Linked DNA regions of Pelodiscus sinensis. The protein of the gene in region 1 interacts with the protein of each later gene in a pairwise test. Links are inferred from orthologs where the notes say so. Each region holds a gene or a part of one and is shown in the gene's direction. Other genes may lie near its edges.

What was found.
Region 2: the proteins of HMG20A (region 1) and HPCAL1 interact in binary tests that used the Homo sapiens proteins (3 or more experiments, as listed by UniProt). The two-hybrid records come from large-scale screens. The link is inferred for Pelodiscus sinensis from reciprocal best matches to the Homo sapiens genes HMG20A and HPCAL1.

The regions. Positions count from the first base shown.
Region 1 is NC_134724.1:33,086,387-33,096,095, forward strand, and holds the start of HMG20A (high mobility group protein 20A), read left to right. Parts: upstream 1-5,412; 5' UTR 5,413-5,558; intron 5,559-9,709. UniProt on the Homo sapiens protein: Plays a role in neuronal differentiation as chromatin-associated protein. Acts as inhibitor of HMG20B. Overcomes the repressive effects of the neuronal silencer REST and induces the activation of neuronal-specific genes.
Region 2 is NC_134713.1:27,068,344-27,077,864, reverse strand, and holds the start of HPCAL1 (hippocalcin-like protein 1), read left to right. Parts: upstream 1-5,099; 5' UTR 5,100-5,289; intron 5,290-9,521. UniProt on the Homo sapiens protein: May be involved in the calcium-dependent regulation of rhodopsin phosphorylation.

The DNA.
Region 1 (9,709 bases):
TAGAGATGTTAAATTTAATCAACTAATCAACTAGTCGATGGATTTTCCATTGACTAGACAAGAAGTGAGGGAGCTACAGTGGGGTTAGCTCCCAGCCCAGGATCTAACTCCACTGCAGCTCTGAGTTTTAAATGTATTAAGAGCCTACTGACAGCAGGAGGGACCCAGTGTGAGCCCAGGACAGCTGATTCCCAGCTGCACCGGATCCCCCCCCCCCCCCGCCTCCACTGCGCATCAGCCTTTTACATGTATTTTAAGACAGCTCCCCTCAGCCCTGCCTCCCGCACCCCACTCTGATAAAGGCAGCTAATGGTAGAAGTGATTGGTTGCTTACATTCTCAGTTGAACCTTTGTAGTCCAGTACCCTCAGGACCTGACCAATGCTGAACCTCAGGAGGTCTATTTGTCTAGCAACTTTACCAACATTTCCACTGATTATTGGGTTCTTAGAAGACATTTAGTGGTAAACTGGAGGTAAATAATAGCACGGGCCATTGAAAACCAGGGTTGGTGGCTGGAAACAAACTTTATGGCAGGGATGGGAAACCTAAGGTCCAGGGACCACATGCAGCCCCCAGCTTGTCTGGATCCGGGCCCCGAGTCTCAGGGCACCCCTCAGCATTGGGGAGCCCACTCTGGCGCTCCAGCTCCCCACCACACACACCTCCCCGTAAGGCTGGAGCACACAAAATCTACTAGGCTCTGGTATGTGAGGGGAATATAAGGAGTGTCTTTCTCCTTTTCAGTTAGGGGCCACATCAGTTAAGATTTGGGTTTTTTGCTTCTCACTTGCGTGTGGCCCCCAATTGACTTTTCGGTGGTTCAGCTGCCCCAGTCCAAAAAAGGCTCCCCACCCCTGCTTTATGGGACTGCAGAAAACTTAGCCACACCCATGATAAGTGTACATTTAGCTAACTTAAATCATGCCAGAACACAGATGTTAATGGACCAGAGAATGATGGACTAGAAAGGTTCAACCTGTATATCTACTTTGTGTACATGTTTCCTAACAGAACAGAGAGGCTTAGCACATGTATGACTCCAAACCATAACTTGTGATCATGGTGTGGCTCATGTAAAAAGTTTGACTGTTCTGATTACATAAGAGACCATTAAAGCTCTACTAGCTCAAAAAACACGTCATGTTTCCTAATGTATTAAATGTACTCAATTAATTTGAACAGCATACATCAAGGATTATGTAGGTAAAAAAAAAAAAAATCTAAAAAAGGTATATATGGAGTTGTATCTACAGAAATTAGGTGTATTTGCAAAGTGGTCCTTTGTACAGATATACCCCTTTCCTTACACACACATCCCTTCCAAAAAAAGTATAAAATGTACTGAATAAAAATTGTAGCACACTGTGACTTATCAACACAGTGGTAAATGTTATGCTGTTAAACACATACACAGTAAGTTTAATGGCTCCTGTCCTTAATATTAACACCATGTTTCTGAACTTAATGTAGCTAGGTGAAACTGACCAGTAACAGTAAAGATCTATAATTAAACTTGCTCGTCACTAGATTTGTCTCGGTTTAAATTGATACCTTCTGTCCTATAACTTAAGAAACACACACTACCTGCCATTGTAGTTCATGTGTGAATGAGTCACCAGAGTCAAGATAAGCCAAACAATTTTTGAAAAGTAATTTGGGAAGTCAGAAAATGGAGCAACGCAGGACACTCTGACAATAAGGTATCCCCATCATGAAATGAGAGTGTAGGATTACTCACGGAAAGTTACTCATGGAAAGTGAATAATTCACTTCTTACATATTTCAACACTACAGAGAGCAATATGAGGTTTTCCTGAAACACATGCTAAAGCTTTGCCAGACATTTTATCTGGAAAAATCATCAATAACTACTTTGCAGAACAAAAATCTATAAGCTAAGATGGAATCAGGTGAAGAGCTCTAACTAATCATATTAAACCTAGGTCAAAGTTACCAAGCAAAATGTTCAGCAGTACAAATATCTCCTACTTTACTGCTCTGAATCAAACCATATATCCAGTTGAGTATAAAAGTCAGTCATCGGTCAGATATAGTCACACTTAACTAAATGAATCTCACCTGTAACACAAACATATATACGGCTTATTTTAAACTATAGGACAATCAGTTTTAAATAGCCTTCATCTAACTATAGAATTTGAATTCTAGTATTCCATCAAATCTAGAGTGAATGTCTCAAGACCTTAATTTTGAATCCTATAATAAACTGTTTGATTTAATATTTTGTATTTAATTTTTTCTATTCTTTATTGTATCTATATTGTAAAGTAACATTTTTCACAGACACATAGAATCACAAATTTTGGAGGAAAGTGCTTTTACAGACAGGAGACAACTCTTAAAACATTTAGCCTCATTTGCATATTTCTCGCGCAAGAAGCCGCGAGTGTAGACATAGCCCTATAGTAAAAGTAGAAGCGTCAGTACTGATCAAAGTGCACAGAATTAAGAGTTCTACAAAAAAGAACCATCCAAAATGTAACTAAAATAAACAGAAACAATGAGGAGTCCTGTGGCACCTTAAAGACTAACAGATTTGGACATATGTTTTCATGGACAAAGACCTACTTCATCAAATTCATGATCAGTATTTCTTGGTCTCCCCTTATCGCTTCTACTGTTTTCTCAAAGATTAAGCTGGGACCAGATATAAAAGGGTTGAGAAGTTATCCATTGGAATCTACTCAGAGTTGATCACAGCCTCTTCCCTAGAAAGATTACTTCTGTTTATTTTAACAAGTAGCAGGAGGTAGGGATGTAGTAGTAAAATTGATTAACTAATGAGCAAAAGCGTATAAGTTAATGCTATAGATGACACACATTCCCCCTCCATCTCCTGCTCCCCCGGGTAATTTTTTTTAGCAGGCTGACCAGCAGCATGGCTGAGTCCCAGCTTGCACCGGGTCCAGGACCTATCCCTGTTGCAGCACTGCATTCGATGTGTATTAGGAGCCAGGCAGGCAGGCAAGCCCGCCTCCATTCTGGCTCACTCCGGATCCGAGAGCTCAAATCCGCACACACTCCCCCGAATAGGGGCTGCTGCCACCCCATGCTGCTACCTCTGTATCAGAGGCAGCGGGGATGGCAGGCAGCTGGTCCACAAGGGGAGCTGGTTTTTAAACTGGCTCCTCTCTCCAATCAGCTCCTGCCTGGCACACCACTCTGCTGCCTCTGATACAGAAGCAGTAGCACAGAGCGGCAAGGGGCTCCTTGGGAATGGGTCCAGATTGCACTGGCTGCTGGCCCCACACCTGGGGATTATAGAATTGTCGAGTAACCAATAAGAATTCATGAGGTTAATTGACTATTCAATTAATGGATATTTAAGATCCCTAATCAGAGGCTCAGCTGTGTTAGTTTGTATTTGTAAAAAGAACAAGGGGTCCTGTGACATCATAAAGACTATGAGATTTATTTGGGCATAAGCTTTCGTGGGCAAAGATCCACTTCATCCAAGCAGGAATGTTTCTTGTTCCTGAGGCAAGCCAAAAAGAGCATGGCCATCTTGTGTCAGATACCAGCTGCTCAGTAAATAATGATAATCGCTGCACTACATAAACATCTTTTTTTACTCATTATTACAAAGCAGATTTCAATGAATAACTTCTCAACCCTTTCATATCTGGTCCCAGCTTAGTCATTGGGGAAAACAGGACAAGGAGAGAAAGAGTCACACAGATCAATATACCAAATCCCAAATAAGGGACAGAAGAGAATACTTAAACCAGAAAAGCTTAATACAATATAAAATTAATTTGGTATTTATAAATTAACAGTTTTAGTCTCATTTCCTTTATGCTGATAATGTACAGTAATAAAAATGAAAGGAATAAAAATGAATAAAAATGTCTGAAAAGTAGAATAAACTGGAGTCTGAAGCAATGTTTTCACTTTCTAGGAATTTTGCAAGTAAATAGAAGAACAGCTCACAAAGATGTCAAAACAGTTGACTGAGATAGACTGCTTTGCAATATGTTTAGCAAATGAGCATGCTGAAAATGCAATATATATATACACAAGAAGAAGAACAATTATGCTTATTTTAAAAAATAGTGTCAAAGACACTAGTATCAAATGTGTTTAAAGTGAAAGATACTAAGGGTGGCAACTGCCCTGGCCTCCCCAGCCTACAAATAAATAATCGATCTGTAATAAAAAAGCAGTTGAGATCTATAGACTCAATCTGATCTGAGCCACAAGGAGCTGCTCTGTCCTTTAAGTTTGAGGAGCACACTTTTAGATGCTCGGGAGGAGGAGAGCACTGTAGGGGGAAATGAAGAGACAAGCAACGAATCCCGAGCTGCGGAAGGATGGCTCATTAGGCGTCCTTCATTGTCGTTGGATCGTCAATGCCCCCTCAATTCCCAGCCCCCATCCCTCAGGAGACAGAGATGTTAAAACAAAGTTGATCAGCCATTTCCACGGTATCGTTGCTGCTTCTACTCCAGAAACCCGCTGAGCGGGAGAGACGCGTCTCTTCCTTCCTACCGCCCCCCACCCCGGACCCCAACTTAGGAGGCGTCCCGTAGAGGAAACCTGAGCCATGGGGGAAGGGAAGCCAATTCATTGTCCCTAGATGGCTCTGCCTCCTTCCCTCCCGCCCCATCACACGTCCCTCCTCACGCTCAAAGGGAGCCAATTCCTACCCCCGCAGAGAAGTCCCCACCCCCGCTCAAGAGCCCGTTGGGTCAGCCCGGCCCCCGCCCTTCACACGGAGGGTCTATGCGCCCCGAAGTCACTTTGGCTCCCCCCCCCCAGCCGTTCTTACCGCTCACGGGCCCCGGACACTGGCGGGGCTGAGGGGTTCGTTTGCCGCCGAGCCCCGGGACGAGCCGACTCACTCTGGCACCGACAGCCTCACTCCACTCAACTACCCGAGCCAGCGGCCGGCCACAGGCAGAGACCACGCCCCCCACGGCTCGTGACACTAACTGTCCCTCCTTCCCCGCGCGCGGCACCCATCCTCTCTTGCGCGCTCGGAGCAAGAGACTCCAGCTAGTCGCGCGCTCCCGAGCGTATAGGAGAGTGAGCCAGGAGCGCGCGACCCCAAAGCGCACGCCGATTGGCTCGAATCGTAGCAAAGGGCGTGGCGCGGCGAGGTAGGCTCGACCGGTTTGTCGAGACATGCTCCCAGCGTGGTCGGTGCTGGAAAAGGGGGAAACTACGACCCCCAGCATCCTTTGCGCCCACCCTGCCGCCGGCCCTTTAAAAATTGAACACGTCACTGTGCGTGCAAGAGGCAGTACACTGCCGCCAGCTGGATCAAATAGTTCCTCGCTGCCTTTCTGCCCCTTTCCTTTCTCCGGCCTCAAAGGTGGAGCTAGAGGAGTCGGTTCCATCCGCCTTCGTTGTCGAGTCCCTTGCAGAGTCTTTCTACGGGGAAATAGGAGCGGGGAGAGAGGCTGTGAGGGGGCGGAGAGATCTGCGAGGGGCAAGAGGAGGGTAATGCGGCTGTGTGAGAGAGGCTGGAGGAGACTGAGTGGGGTGAGGGGAATTGCTCCGTAGGGGACCCCCTGGAAAGCCATCCTGCGGCAGGTCAGTAAAGAGGGGGTGGGAGATCCTCGCCCCCTCTTCCCGTTCGTGGGGTGCGTGAGAGGGCCTCTCCGGGGAGGCGACACCCCATTTCCTGGCTCTCAGAGGAAGGGGCCTGCCCAGGCACTCAGACCCCAGGAGAAATCTTCCGCCCTCACTAGCCCCGCAGCCGTTACTCAGTCTCACTAACGTCTCTCGTGGCGAGGAGAGGAGGGGATGAGCCACTGGGCTTCCTCGCTCCCATCCCCACCGGACACCAAAGGAAATCGAAGCGCTTTTTCTACGCCAGGAACCAGGGCCTCGTGTGGGGAGGAGGCTCGGAGGGGAAGGACGTGTCAGGCGGATCTGGGACCTCTTCTCATACAACCCCCAGGCTTGTTACGGCACAAAGGGACAAATAAGGGGATGCTGGTCCTTTAATGTCTTTCCTCCATTAACCTGAACTATCTTGGAGGCGGTAGGGAGTTAACACTAAGATTGAAAATCCACTCATTAATGGGGAGCTTTCACAGCCAGTTCGTGTAGCATTTAAGTTTCTATTCCTTGCAGAGAAAATTCTTCTTAAATCTTCAGGTATTTCAGAATAGAATTGACAAGACTGGTCAGTTTCACTGCTACAGGGAGACCAATGGCTTAGCAGTAAAACAGATGAATCTGATGTCAATGTCATGTTGTTTCTGTTAAGGAATGCCCTTCAAAGGTACCCCCCAAAATATGCTTGTAGGTGGAATGAAACAGTGGAATGATTCTTACCTCCCCTTCACTGAAGGGAGAATTGAAGCTGCTGAGCTCTATTTTACAGAGTTTGATTTAGTGAGTCTGGTTAAGACTCACTAAATGGAACTCAGAGGATGCCTGGAGGGAAGCTGATGGGAGCATTTGCTCCCTTCAGCCTCCCACTGTGGAGTTGGTGGGGAAACTTGAAACAAGGTATGTGGACTCTAGCTATGTAATTAACATAGCTGGAGTTGCATACCTCCTGAGAAGGGGTGTAAGATGTATTTTTACCCTCTGCTAGCAGCCAGGAAGCTGTGTGGGGAAGAGAGAGAAAACAAACTGCTGGAAGTGAGAAGCAGCATTAGATCAATCGCCTCCTGTCTAGAGGCAGAAAGATGAAAGATTGGGACATTGCTCACCTTTTCAGCAGTTGCAGTCTAGGTTTCCTACCAAGGAATTGGCTTTGAAATTTGCTGAAGGAAAACAAGCATATTTCTCACTGGCATATAGTTAATAGCTTTAGAACTCTTTTAGTAGGTGACTGGTACATTTTTCAAAACCTATTTCACAGATGCTAAAAGTGAGGCATATAAGAGGGTTAACCTGCTTCAGGCCCATAACAAATCAGTGCTTGAGCTGGGAATTGAACTTGAGATAACACTGGCACTACAGTGTTGATTTATGATCCCTGAAAATATATACCTAACAGCATGTTGAAAATAAAAACGTTTTTCATTGATTATGATGGTTATTTAAAATGCTAGGAAACTGTAACAGACACAGATGAGCACGATGACCAGTTTTTCAACTGCTAATTCAAAATGGAACATTAACATTACTTTTTAAAAACTTCAGAGGGGTAGCCGAGTTAGTCTGTAATGCTATGTCTAGACTACATCCCTCTGTTGGCAGAGGGATGTAAATGAGGCACTTTGAAAGTGCAAATGAAGTGGGGATTTAAATATCCTGCCCTTGATTTGCATAATTGTGTCATGGCGCTTTTTTGAAAAAGCACCATTTAGAAAGTAAAACTGTGGTCTAGACACAGCGAAACTGGAAAAACTTAAACAACAAATAGTCTTGCAGCACATTAAAAACTAAAAAAACATGTAGATGAGCTTTCGTGGGCATAACCCACTTCTTCAGCTTACTTTACCTTTGTTTTGTCTTAAGTTATGCAGCGGAGGATTGAAGAGATTACAAGACACTATAACTCGAGAACTAACTCTATTCTTAGAGGTATTTATGGAGGATGAGATGTATGAACTGACCAACAGTTGAGAAGAGTGAGGAGTCTGAGGCTATATCTACACTCCTGCTTTTTCACAGAAAAGGAAATGCAAATGGAGCACTAATTAGCATATCTCATGCTCTCATTTGCATATTCTTTTCCAATCCTTTTTGCAGAAGAGGATTTTGAGCAAAAAACCACAGTGTAGATGGGGCCATTTTGCACAAAAAAACACTTTTGTGCAAGAACCCCTTATTCCTCAAGAACCTTAAGGAATATGGGTTCTTGCATTAAAGGGTTTTTTTGTACAAAATGGCCCCATCTACACTGTGTTTTTTTTGCTCAAAAACCTCTTCTGCAAAAAGGATTGGAAAAGAATATGCAAATGAGAGCGAGATATATGCTAATTAGCGCTCGATTAGCATTTCCTTTTCTGGGAAAAAGCAGGAGTGTAGACACAGCCTTTATTTTTTACCGGGTAGTTGTCTTTAGCAACCACATGTAGGCTACGTCTACACTCTTGCGCAATACTGAAAAGTAATAGGTGTAACGGCATTGCGCAAGAGGGTTTTTCTTGCGCAAGAAGGGGCAGTGTAGATGCTCCTTCTTGCACAAGAGCCTCTTCTGGAAAAAAGGTGGCTCGTTAGGTATGCAAATGAGGCTCAGCGATATTCCATGCTGAGCCTCATTTGCATATTACTCCCACAAGAAGCCGCGAGTGTAGACATAGCCATAGTGTTCTTCTTTCATTCACATCTAGTGGTTAGAAGGGGATGGTGGGGATAAGAGAACTTTCTTTTTTTTTCCTTTCTCTGTTAAGAATCTCTCTGTCATTATCTTTCTTTCACAGACTACTAGTTCACTCTGTCCCCACCTTTCATTTATTTTAATGTAAGGTCTTTCCCCTGTGACATAACCCGCATGTTTACAATGGCTCCTTCTGTGGCTAATTGTTTTCTGAGAAGCAGTTGCTTGAAATTGGCTTTTTTGACAGTTTCACTGATGCACACAAGCTTTTGAATAGTTGCAGTGAAACTGATGCTTTGCCATGCTGATGGATAACAAAAGAATAGTTAAGAAGTTTTATCAAACACCTCCTATCTAGAGGCCTAAAAGACAAGGTGATAAATCAACTTGGATTTGTCAAGAATAAATCATGTCAAGCCAACGCAATCATAGAACTGGAAGAGACCTCAGAGGGTCATCAAGTCCAGCCCCCTGCCCAAAGCAGGACCAATCCCAACTAAATCAACCCAGCTAGGGCTTACTCAAAATGAGACTTAAAAACCTCTATGGATGGAGATTCCACCACCATTCCAGTGCTTCACCACCCTCCTAGTGAAATAGATTTTCCTAATATCCAACCTAGATCTCTCCCACTGTAACTTGAGACCATTGCTCCTTGTTCTGCCATCCGTCACTACTATGAACAGCCTTTCTCCATCCTCTTTGGAACCTCCCTTCAGGAAGTTGAAGGCCGCTATCAAATTCCCCCTCACTCTTCTCTTCTGCAGACTAAACAAACCCAAATCACTCAGTCTCTCCTCATAGGTCATTTGCTCCAGCCCCCTAATCATTTTGTTCATCCTCCACTGGATTCTCTCCAATGTGTCCACATCCTTTCTATAGTGGAGGCCAAGAACTGGACACAATACTCCAGATGTGGCCTCACCAGAGCTGAATAAAGGGAAATAATCACTTCTCTGTATCTGCTGGCAATGCTCCTCCTAATGCACCCTAATATGCAATTAGCCTTCTTGGCTACAAGGGCACACTGTTCACTCATACCCAGTTTCTCATCCACTGTAATCCCCAGGTCCTTTTCAGCAGAACTGCTACTTAGCCATTCAGACCCCAGCCTGTAACAATGCTTGGGATTCTTCCGTCCCAAGTGCAGGATTCTACACTTGTCCTTGTTGAACCTCATCAGATTTCTTTTGGCCCCATCCTCTAATCTGTCCAGGTCACTCTGGACCCTGTCCCTGCCCTCCAGCGTATCTACCTCTCCCCCCAGCTTAGTGTCATTTACCAACTTGCTGAGGATGCAATCTCTCCCTTCATTCCGGGTACTAATAAAGATATTGAACAAAACTGGTCCTAGAACAGATTATCTTGGGGTACTCCGCTAGAAACCAACCGCCAACCTGACATCAAGCCATTGATCGCTACCCATTGCTCCCGACAGTCTAGCCATCTTATGGTCCAT
Region 2 (9,521 bases), on another chromosome or scaffold:
ACTGAAGGAGATGATGAATCTAAGCAATCAAGCAGAACCCCTAAGGAGGATATACTGTGGAAGTCAGCTGTGCTCACAGTTATTTGTACATTCTCAGAATGATAAATAATGTAAAGCCCCTTCATAATATTATGTCAAAATAGTCTGCTATTTCTTTTTCCACAATGTAGTAACATCCTAAACAGCTATAAAGTTGAAAGCATTATTACATTGCTGGGCGAGAATTCTGAGCTTGAGACAGGTAGCAGTTTTACTCTCTAATAACACACTTGTGCCTCTGTGTTTCTCTTTTGCTCTTCTTGTCACACATTAACAAGATTCAGATTGTATTTTTATGAGCAGCATGGTTAGAGAGCTAGCAAAATCTCAGACAATGAAAAGCAACTGCACAACCTTTTCGTAAAGGAAGAGAGAGCATGCCCCAAGTTTAAAGTCTCCGAAAGTAGGTTCAGACACCTAAGAGAGAATTTAAATTAGTTTAGAAAGGGAAACAGATGCAGGACTATTGTAGAATGTTTTTCAATGAGTAAACTTCAAGGAAAAAAATGAATTTGGACCAAATGTATACTTTTTGGTGTTTTGTGCTTCTTCCTATAACGTCTCAGTGAATCCTTTATCTCAATACATGTGGAGGAAGCTAAGAGACACTGGCAAGTGTTTGACATTAACTGTGCAATCTGACTATATTTTCAAAGCTATCAGGAATAACCTGAGGTAACTTTTCATAGGGGGAAATATACAGAGAGAGGAGAGAGAGTTTTATGGGATTTGGGGTTTGATTTTTAGTCCCCCTTGTGTTTGAATCTTGAAGTCCTGGTCTTCAGTAAGGTCAGGGCTGGCCTTACCATGAGGCGAACTGAGGTGGCCACCTCAGGTGCCAGACTGTGGGGGGGGGCACCATTAGGACCCAGAGTGTAGAAAATTGTATCTGCTGCTGGTGCATAGGTATTCTCTCTGCAGTACCATGAGAGGAGTAGAACAGGAAGAAGGCAAAATTGGGACTTTTCAAAGTTTTGGCCCAAGCAAAGGGTCATTCGGGCATCATTTGAGCTCCCTGCCTCATGTGCCAAAATGTTGTGGGCTAGCCCTGAATAGGGTCAGAATTCCACCCCACACATATAAAGTCACTTACATTTTTAACCCTCCATTTAGGTCAGCTAGCTCAAGTTTAAAGCACTACCTAACACAAGATAGAGATTTGTGTGTGTGAACAGAAGTTAGACTAGTCCTTAGTCTAATAAAATGGGGCTAATTGCAGCTCTCCTTCATTTAAATGAACTATAAAATACATCCCTTTTGAGTAATTCTAGAATAGAATATAAACTGGTTGTTATGACAGAAGCTCTTAATTGCTCCTTTTTATTCTGGCTGCTGCTTTCACTATCTTTTATCGGGGCCTTGGGTACTGTACTCCTGGTGTCATTTAAACAAGACTTTTTGACTCTGTGTGTTGCGCTTCACATTTGGACTCATTTTTGCCAATGATTTTCTGATGTTGTACTACCACCTGAGTATCTGTGTTAATTCTTTTTTTTTTTGGCTAGAAGGTTAGACACAGCTCAGTCCAGGTGGTAGTACAACCTTATTGATTCTTGTTTGCTGACAGAGGCTATGTCTAGACTGCAGAGCTTTTCCAGGATACCAGAGGAATGTGTATGCTTTTTCAGAACAGTTTCCGAAAAAGCGTACATGTTCTTTCAGTATCCCTGTATTCCTCTTGGTGACAGGAATAAAGGATGTTCCAAAAGAGGACTTTTTTCTGAAATTTGGCCAAATGTCAGAAAAGCCTCTTTCGGAAAACAAAGCAAAAAAAGATATGCAAATTGGGTATCTTTTGCCGACTTTTCTTGGCAGTCTAGATGCCTTCAGGGCATCCCTTATCCCACCTCCCCTCCACCCGTGCTGTCCATGTGGAAGGCGGCATAAGGGACACCCTGAAGGTAAGGTGGTGGGATGGGTTCTCCTGTTGACTAGTGGCTAGCTAGGGCATTCACCTGGGGAGGGAAGGGTAGTCAGTCTATAGTGGCAAAAATCTACTTTACTTCAGTGGAGGCAGGATTTCATCCTGGGAACAAAAGCTTTTTTTCTTTAAAGGAGAAATGCTTGTCTGCTAGTAATTGGGATGATAGTCATTCTGTTTTTCCATCCTACAAGGTTTCTGTAATCATGTGGTATGTATATTTTCTATGTATCAAGAAGAGAAGAGGAAAAAAGTATGCATCTGATTAAATGAGTTTTAGCTAAATCAATTTGTTAGTCTTTAAGATGCCAACCACAGGACTCGTCATTGTGTTTTCTGAAACAGACTAACATGGCTACCTCTTCGGAAAAAAGCATATTAACTTTCCCATGACAAAAACTGGAAATGACAGACACAAGAAGTAGGAGTGTGGGGGATGCTGCAGCACCCCCAGGTTTTGCACCTGACTTCCTCAGGCGTGGGGGCCAGTCCCAATGCTGGCTCTTCCAGGTCCTGCCTGCCTCATTTGCTTTGCAGAGAATTCTGCTATCAATTTCAATACCTGTACTCCGCCTCCCCGAGAGGTGGTAGGAAAGACACAGCACGATCTGGGTAGATTGATATAAGCTATATCACTCAGCGAGGGGGAGGGTGTCACACCTCTGGCTGACTTAAGTAGCAGTGTTGACCAGGCCTGAGAGAATTTTCTTATCAACCTACCGCTGGCTACAAAGGCGTTAAGTTGGTTTATCTGTGTCACTTGGGTATGGATTTTCACATCGTGGAGAGAAGTAGTTATATTGATCTAATTTCCTAATGTAAACCAGGCCTCAGAGTGGCCACCTGTTCTGCTTTTTGTCAGAGCAACCCTGTCCTATTAGAAAAATTCAAAAAAGGACTTTTGGGAAATTTCTTCTCAGCATGACTCTGAATTATAGCACAATGAGAGTCTGATAGTAACAGTCTGAGATAAACATCACACCAGCTTTGCTATATCTTGCCTTTCTTACTCCTCTGCTGCCTTCTCTTGGACTTGTTTTTCCTTCTCATCTTCATAAAAGTGAAGTGAACACAAGACATCTGGTTTAGAGAGCTGTTTCCTGATCCTCACTACCCAGGTGAAGAGGGCAAAAAATGTGATATACAGAGGTAGAGATGCAGCTGTGAACTAATGGGTAAGTGTGCTGGTATGATAGGTGAACCAATTACTGATGCCGTATGGTCTGCAAGATTCTATTCAGTAACTGCAGACATAGAAGAAACTCTATGAAAAATAAATACAGTGAGCACCTAAATGATGTATAGTCACTCTTTAAAAAAAAACCTTCCTTCAAGCTTTGACTGTTCATTTTTCTGCACATCACATGAACATAGTAATTGTGGATGTACTTGGATTGGAGGAGATAGCAGAGGCCAATTATTTCTTGAAGCTGTAATTTATTTTTCTTTCAGTCTCCTGGAAATCATGAGTTCTTTGCAACCAGCCTAAAGCTGAAGCATTATTGAAGGAAGCTGATTTAAATGTGCCTACCAGGAGTGTACAGTCAAAAGGGCTTCTCCCTACAACTTTTCATTTAGTTTTTTTTTAAACTTATTTTGCATTCCAGTCTTTGTCCTCTTAAAAAGCATGGAATAGAAAGCTTTGGCTTTCAAAAGCAGACTCTGATTTTGTACATGCATATGTACATTTTAAAATCTGCAGTGGTTTGCGTTTCAGAGATAGCTGTGTTACCCTGCTTCAGCAAAAACAATGAGAAGACCTGTGGCACCTTAAAGACTAACTATTTTGTTTCGGCTTACACTGTCATAGGCTGGAACCCACAATGCATCTCCAGACCATGAAAGCTTATGCAGCTCCCCTTCCCCCTGCAATTGTTAGGCTTTAAGGCACTACAGGTATCCTACTGGTTTGTGTGTACATGTAAACCGTTGAATAGTTATCTACCTGTATCCACAATCTTAACATTATACATTGGGTTTGTTTGCTGAGTGCAGCCACTTCTCAAAATCAGGACCAAATTGAACATTCCTTATAAATGTTGTTAGCAGCTTCTTGTAACTTTTTGGTCCCAGGATATTAGAGAGACAAGGACCAACTTTTCTCTTGGTGAAAGAGACAATATGGTCCTTTTTCAGTTAATTTTTTTTCCTCATCTCTTGTTTATGTTTGCTTTGGAGCACTTGCCCATGCTGTAGTGCTGATGTCTATAAGCATTGCAGGTTTACCACAGTGTTTCAGGGCTTGTCTATATTGTCCTACAGTGCAGACATGGGGGTGTGAATTGCAGAGTACACCAAATCATTGTGCTCTAATTGCTCTGTGTTGATGCTGCTGGTGTGAACTAAACAATATTTAGCTTGCATTCATATAGCCCTGTTTGAAGAGCCACCATGATTCAGTGGCTGGCTGCGTCTGTAACAGCACATCACAAAAGGGGTGACTCTAAAACATGCAGCAGGCCAAATCACTTTAATAGCTGAAGACTGCACAAACACTGACATTTATCCTGCAATTACCTCTAAGGCATAGAGCTTAACAAACCAAAATCACACACACAGATGGAATTTTGAGACAGTGAAAGATTAAGGGTAAGATTTTCAAGAGCACGAGTCACTTGATTTTCAATATGACTCAGGTGATTATGTCACTTAGGTGCTCTCACATCCAGGACAAGGTCAGTTCAACCTAATGGCTGGAGAAGGAGTCAAGTTGAGTCAGGCACCAGGAGGTCAGAGTCCAAGACAGGCCATATGGTGAACTGAGAGTCAGGCATCAGGAGACAGGCAGGGTAAGGTTACCAGGAAATTGGGATCAGGAACCAGATAACAGCTAGCAATTGAACACTGAAGTTGAGGACAAATCAGGGCTGGAAGTTGGAGTTTCTAGGATCCAGCAGGGTCTGGAGCAGAGACTGGCAGATAGTCTTTTATTGCTCAGACATCTCCCCTTCATAGCTTCTTGGTTTAAATACTGGTGTAGTCCCCTTATTAAAGGGGTCTCTGACTTTTTCTGGGAGGATCCTGTGTGCTGCAATCTAGCCGTAGAGACTACAACTCCCATGAGCCCTTGAGAAAAAAAGGGGAAGTGGGGCTTGTCTAGGCATGTTGGTAGAGAGGGCTCTCTATTTTGGGACAGAGGAGCCAGACTGCTGTGGAGGAGCCTTGTCCAGTCCAGAAGCTGTGGTGTTGCAGCTACAGCCTGGGACTGAGAGCCTGCGGGGCTTGGATCTAGCAGGCTGCTTCAGAGACTGTTGATTGCCCTAGAGGGAAGAGACTCTGGCTGTGTCTGCAGCTGAGAAGGACTAAAAACCGGCACACAGATGGAAACTGTAAGTAACTCACTGGGTTTTTCTGGAAAAGAGCTGCCTGGGACAAAGCTCAGCACCAGCCCAGTGAACCAAAGCTGCTGGCATTTGGTGGAGCCTGCTCCAGTGGCAGAGGGATTTTGCAGCTGGCTACTCAGCTTGGGCTAACACACATAGGACCTGCACAGTGCTGTCTCCACATATAGCTACAGACCTTCAAGCGTGCCCACGCAAGCAAGTGTCCGGGACTCTGACTCCAGAGGAGTGCACACTCTGGGGTGGGATAAATGGTGGCAGTGCAAATGCCAGATAGATAAGTTCCTATTATTTCTGTGTACTTTGTTAATTGATTTTACTCACTGTTAATCTGTTAAACCCTGTTTCTTTAAGTTGTTAAGTAAAGGTGTGTTAATTCTATGTAATCAATTAGATGTATATTATTTATAAGAGTTGTCCTGGGGTTAGATCCAGATTACTGTTGGAATAATTTTATTCCTGGAGGCTCCCAAGGCACACCATTAAGTGTATACAGGGCCAGACAGGTGGGGGCACGACCATTGTGTATTCTTACGGAGCAAGGGACTGCAGGAAGCGGGGGGACAGGGAATCCCCAACTAAACAACATCACCACTGGGGTACTCAGGATCTCCTTTTATGTTAAAAACATAAGGCGCCCAGGCACACCTGTGAGTGTGACCTGCTCCAAGTAACCCAGGGAGGAAAAAGGGGGTTATACTGGTATCAGCCAGTCCAGGAACTGAAGAAGCCAACACTCAGGTCCTTCTATGTGATCCTTCCGGGCAATCCTTCTGACTGAGCCCTACCTCACATGGTCCTGTTGGAGGAGCCTAGCCTCAGTCTCCTGTGGCAATGTGGACGTGTCAGTGACGCAGAACTCCCAGGTTCCAGCCTTGCAGGTTCTAACAGGTGCTTTAAAAACACTGCCCTGATTGAGATGGGCAAAATCACACAGGGGCTGCTTTTGCGGAAAAACTTGCCAGCTGTCTACACTGTCCGCTTTGAATTTGCGCAAGAATACTGACGATCTAATGTAAGATTGTGAGTGTTCTTCTGCAAATACAATGACTCTCCCATTCGGGAAAAAGCCCTCTTGCGCAAATGCTTTTGCGTAAGACGGCCAGTGTAGACAGCTGAGAACCATTTTGCGCAAAAAAGCCCCGATGGCGAAAATGGCAATCAGGGCTTTCTTGTGCAAAACCGCGTCTAGATTGGCACGGATGCTTTTCTGCAAAAAGTGCTTTTGCGCAAAAGCGTCCGTGCCAATCTAGATGCTCTTTTCCACAAATGCTTTTAACGGAAAAGCTTTTCCGTTTAAAAGCATTTGCGGAAAATCATGCCAGTCTAGACGTAGCCAGGAGGTATATGGTGGAACTCGAACTAAATTCCTAGAGTCACAATTCAATGATGGGATCCCTATGGTACAAGCTGGATCTGGGAGACAACTGGGGGTATGTCTACACTACCCTCCTAGTTCGAACTAGGAGGGTAATGTAGGCATACCGCACTTGCAAATGAAGCCCGGGATTTGAATTTCCCGGGCTTCATTTGCATAAGCGGGGAGCCGCCATTTTTAAAACCCCGCTGGTTCGAACCCCGTGCAGCGCGGCTACACGGGGCACGAACTAGGTAGTTCGAACTAGGTTTCCTAGTTCGAACTACCTAGTTCGTGCCCCGTGTAGCCGCGCTGCACGGGGTTCGAACCAGCGGGGTTTTAAAAATGGCGGCTCCCCGCTTATACAAATGAAGCCCGGGAAATTCAAATCCCGGGCTTCATTTGCAAGTGCGGTATGCCTACATTACCCCACTAGTTCGAACTAGGAGGGTAGTGTAGACATACCCGTGGGTCCCTTAATTCTCCAGCCTAGTATGACGTTATCAGGTTGAAATGCTAAAATACTTCCGTTTAGGATGGAGTAACAGTGTAATTTTGGGGTAGGATCTGAGCTGTATATCGACCTGGGTGTATGGCTGATCCTTTGGGATCATAAGAACCTATTATTTGATGAGACTGATTGTAAGGAACATTTACTCTCTGGAACCAGTGTTTTTGATGGTGTAATAAGACTGGAATGCCTTAGGAACTGCTTTTATGACTTCTTGTTAGCCTGTGTGGTAAGACAGAAGTTATTTTTGTTGCTGGTTTGGTATATCTCATGGGTAATAACCATCAGCATTTTGTGACAGATTTGTTATATTCCTCAGCAGCATTCATGGATCATAACTGAGAAGGCACAGTTATACCTGGGCTGTCCCTGACAATGGCTCGCCAATAACAAACAGCCAACTCCTTCAGGTGCTGTGATCACTCAGTATGCAGAGACTCACAACCAGCTAAATTGCATGAAAGCTTTCTGAGCCATTTGCAAATCATACAGAGAGGGACACCAGCCAATCACCCCCACCTTGCAGCCCGGAAATACATCATCTTTCACTGCTCAAGACTCCCTTGGACTGTGCAGACTCATTTATGAGTTTGCCACTACAGCAAGGGGTAGAGGATGTGCAACAGCCCTTGTTAACCTGAGCTGAGATTCCCCAAGAATGTCAGCCAAAATCATAACATTTATAAACCAGAATTATTAGCTATAGAAAAATATATTAAGTAGCAGGTATAGAAAGCAAAATTGATTATATTAGAAATACAAATAGAAACACAGTTGAAATTCTAACTGCAGTGGAGTAAAGCCATTTCTACACTGGGGGTATGTCTAGATTACATGCCTCTTCCGACAGAGGCATGTAAAATAGGCTACCCGACATAGTCAATGAAGCGGGGATTTAAATATCCCTGGCTTCATTAAAATAAAAATGGCTGCCGCACTGTGCTGGCTCAGCTGATCATTGGCACAGCGCACGAGTCAAGACGCAGATAGGTCAACAAGGGAAGCCTTTGTCAACCGCTCCTGTAAAGCTCATTTCACGAGGCATAAAGGAGTGGTAGACAAAGGCTTCCCTTGTCGACCGATCCACATCTTGACTCGCACGCTGTGCCAAAGATCAGCTGAGCCGGCACAGCGCAGCGGCCATTTTTATTTTAATGAAGCCGGGGATCTTTAAATCCCTGCTTCATTGACTATGTCGAGTAGCCTATTTTACATGCCTCCATCGGCAGAGGCATGTAATCTAGACATACCCATAGAGCAGGGGCGGATGAGAGTGCCGCGCTGTGTGGGGCCCCAGGCAGCACAATTTCACAGGGGGTCCCCCCTTTGACATGGCGCATGCGCTGTGGCGCCACGGCGCATGCGCGGGGCTTCTGCAAGCGAAGGGCCCGGGGCAGCCACCCCACTCGCCCTGTCCCAAATCCGCCGCTGCCATAGAGCGCCACAGCAGCAAAGCTGTACGGACACAGCAGCAGTGCTGCAGTGTGTGTGTGGTGAAGATGCTCTATGCCGATGAGAGAAAGCTCTTCTCTCAGCATAATAAAGTCACTGCCATGAGTGTCAGAAGCTGTGTTGGTGGGAGAAGCTGTCCTGCTGACATAGCGCTAGGCACATGAGTGTTTATGCCAATGTCACTTTTGTTGACCGGGGGGGATGAAATAGTCACATCCCATGAACAACGTAAGTTTTGCCGACATAAAAGGTAGTAAAAACAACCAGGAGTCCTGTGGCACCATAAAACTAACACATGTACTTGGGCATAATCTTTTGTGGGCTTGAGCCCACTTTGTCAGATGCATAAGTGGTAGTGGAGACATAGCTTGAGCAAAATTGGAATCAAGCATCTTTTCTTATCCTAATAGATGTTACCAGCAGCTCACAGTCCTTAAGGCACAGGTTGTGTTCCTTTTCAGCCTGGGCTCAATCTCCCCAGTTCAGAATCTTGTCTTTCAGATGATCTTCCAAGTGTTGATATGGGTGAAGAGAGAGGCCAAATGGTGATGTTGCTGTCCTTCTTTTGTACTTTCTTCTAGCTGCTAGAAAGAGCCTTGCTCTGACACACAAATTAGGCTGCCTCCATCAGATACATGACCTCTGAAGAGTCTCTGGGTTGGGACTGAGCCACTTTTTGATATCTGTGATGGTCACAGAAGACCTCTTTGGGGTGCTTCCCAGAGTGCTGACACAGCCATTGACACTCACCTCTTTGCTCTCTGGGGGGGGTCTCACCACCCTGTCCTGCTGGGCTAGATCACTTGGTCTCCCCCAGCCAAGGTACAGAGCCATCCCCCCCCCCCTTCCCCAGAAGCAGAAGCAATACAGACATTAAAACTCTCCAGGTCCAAGGCAAAT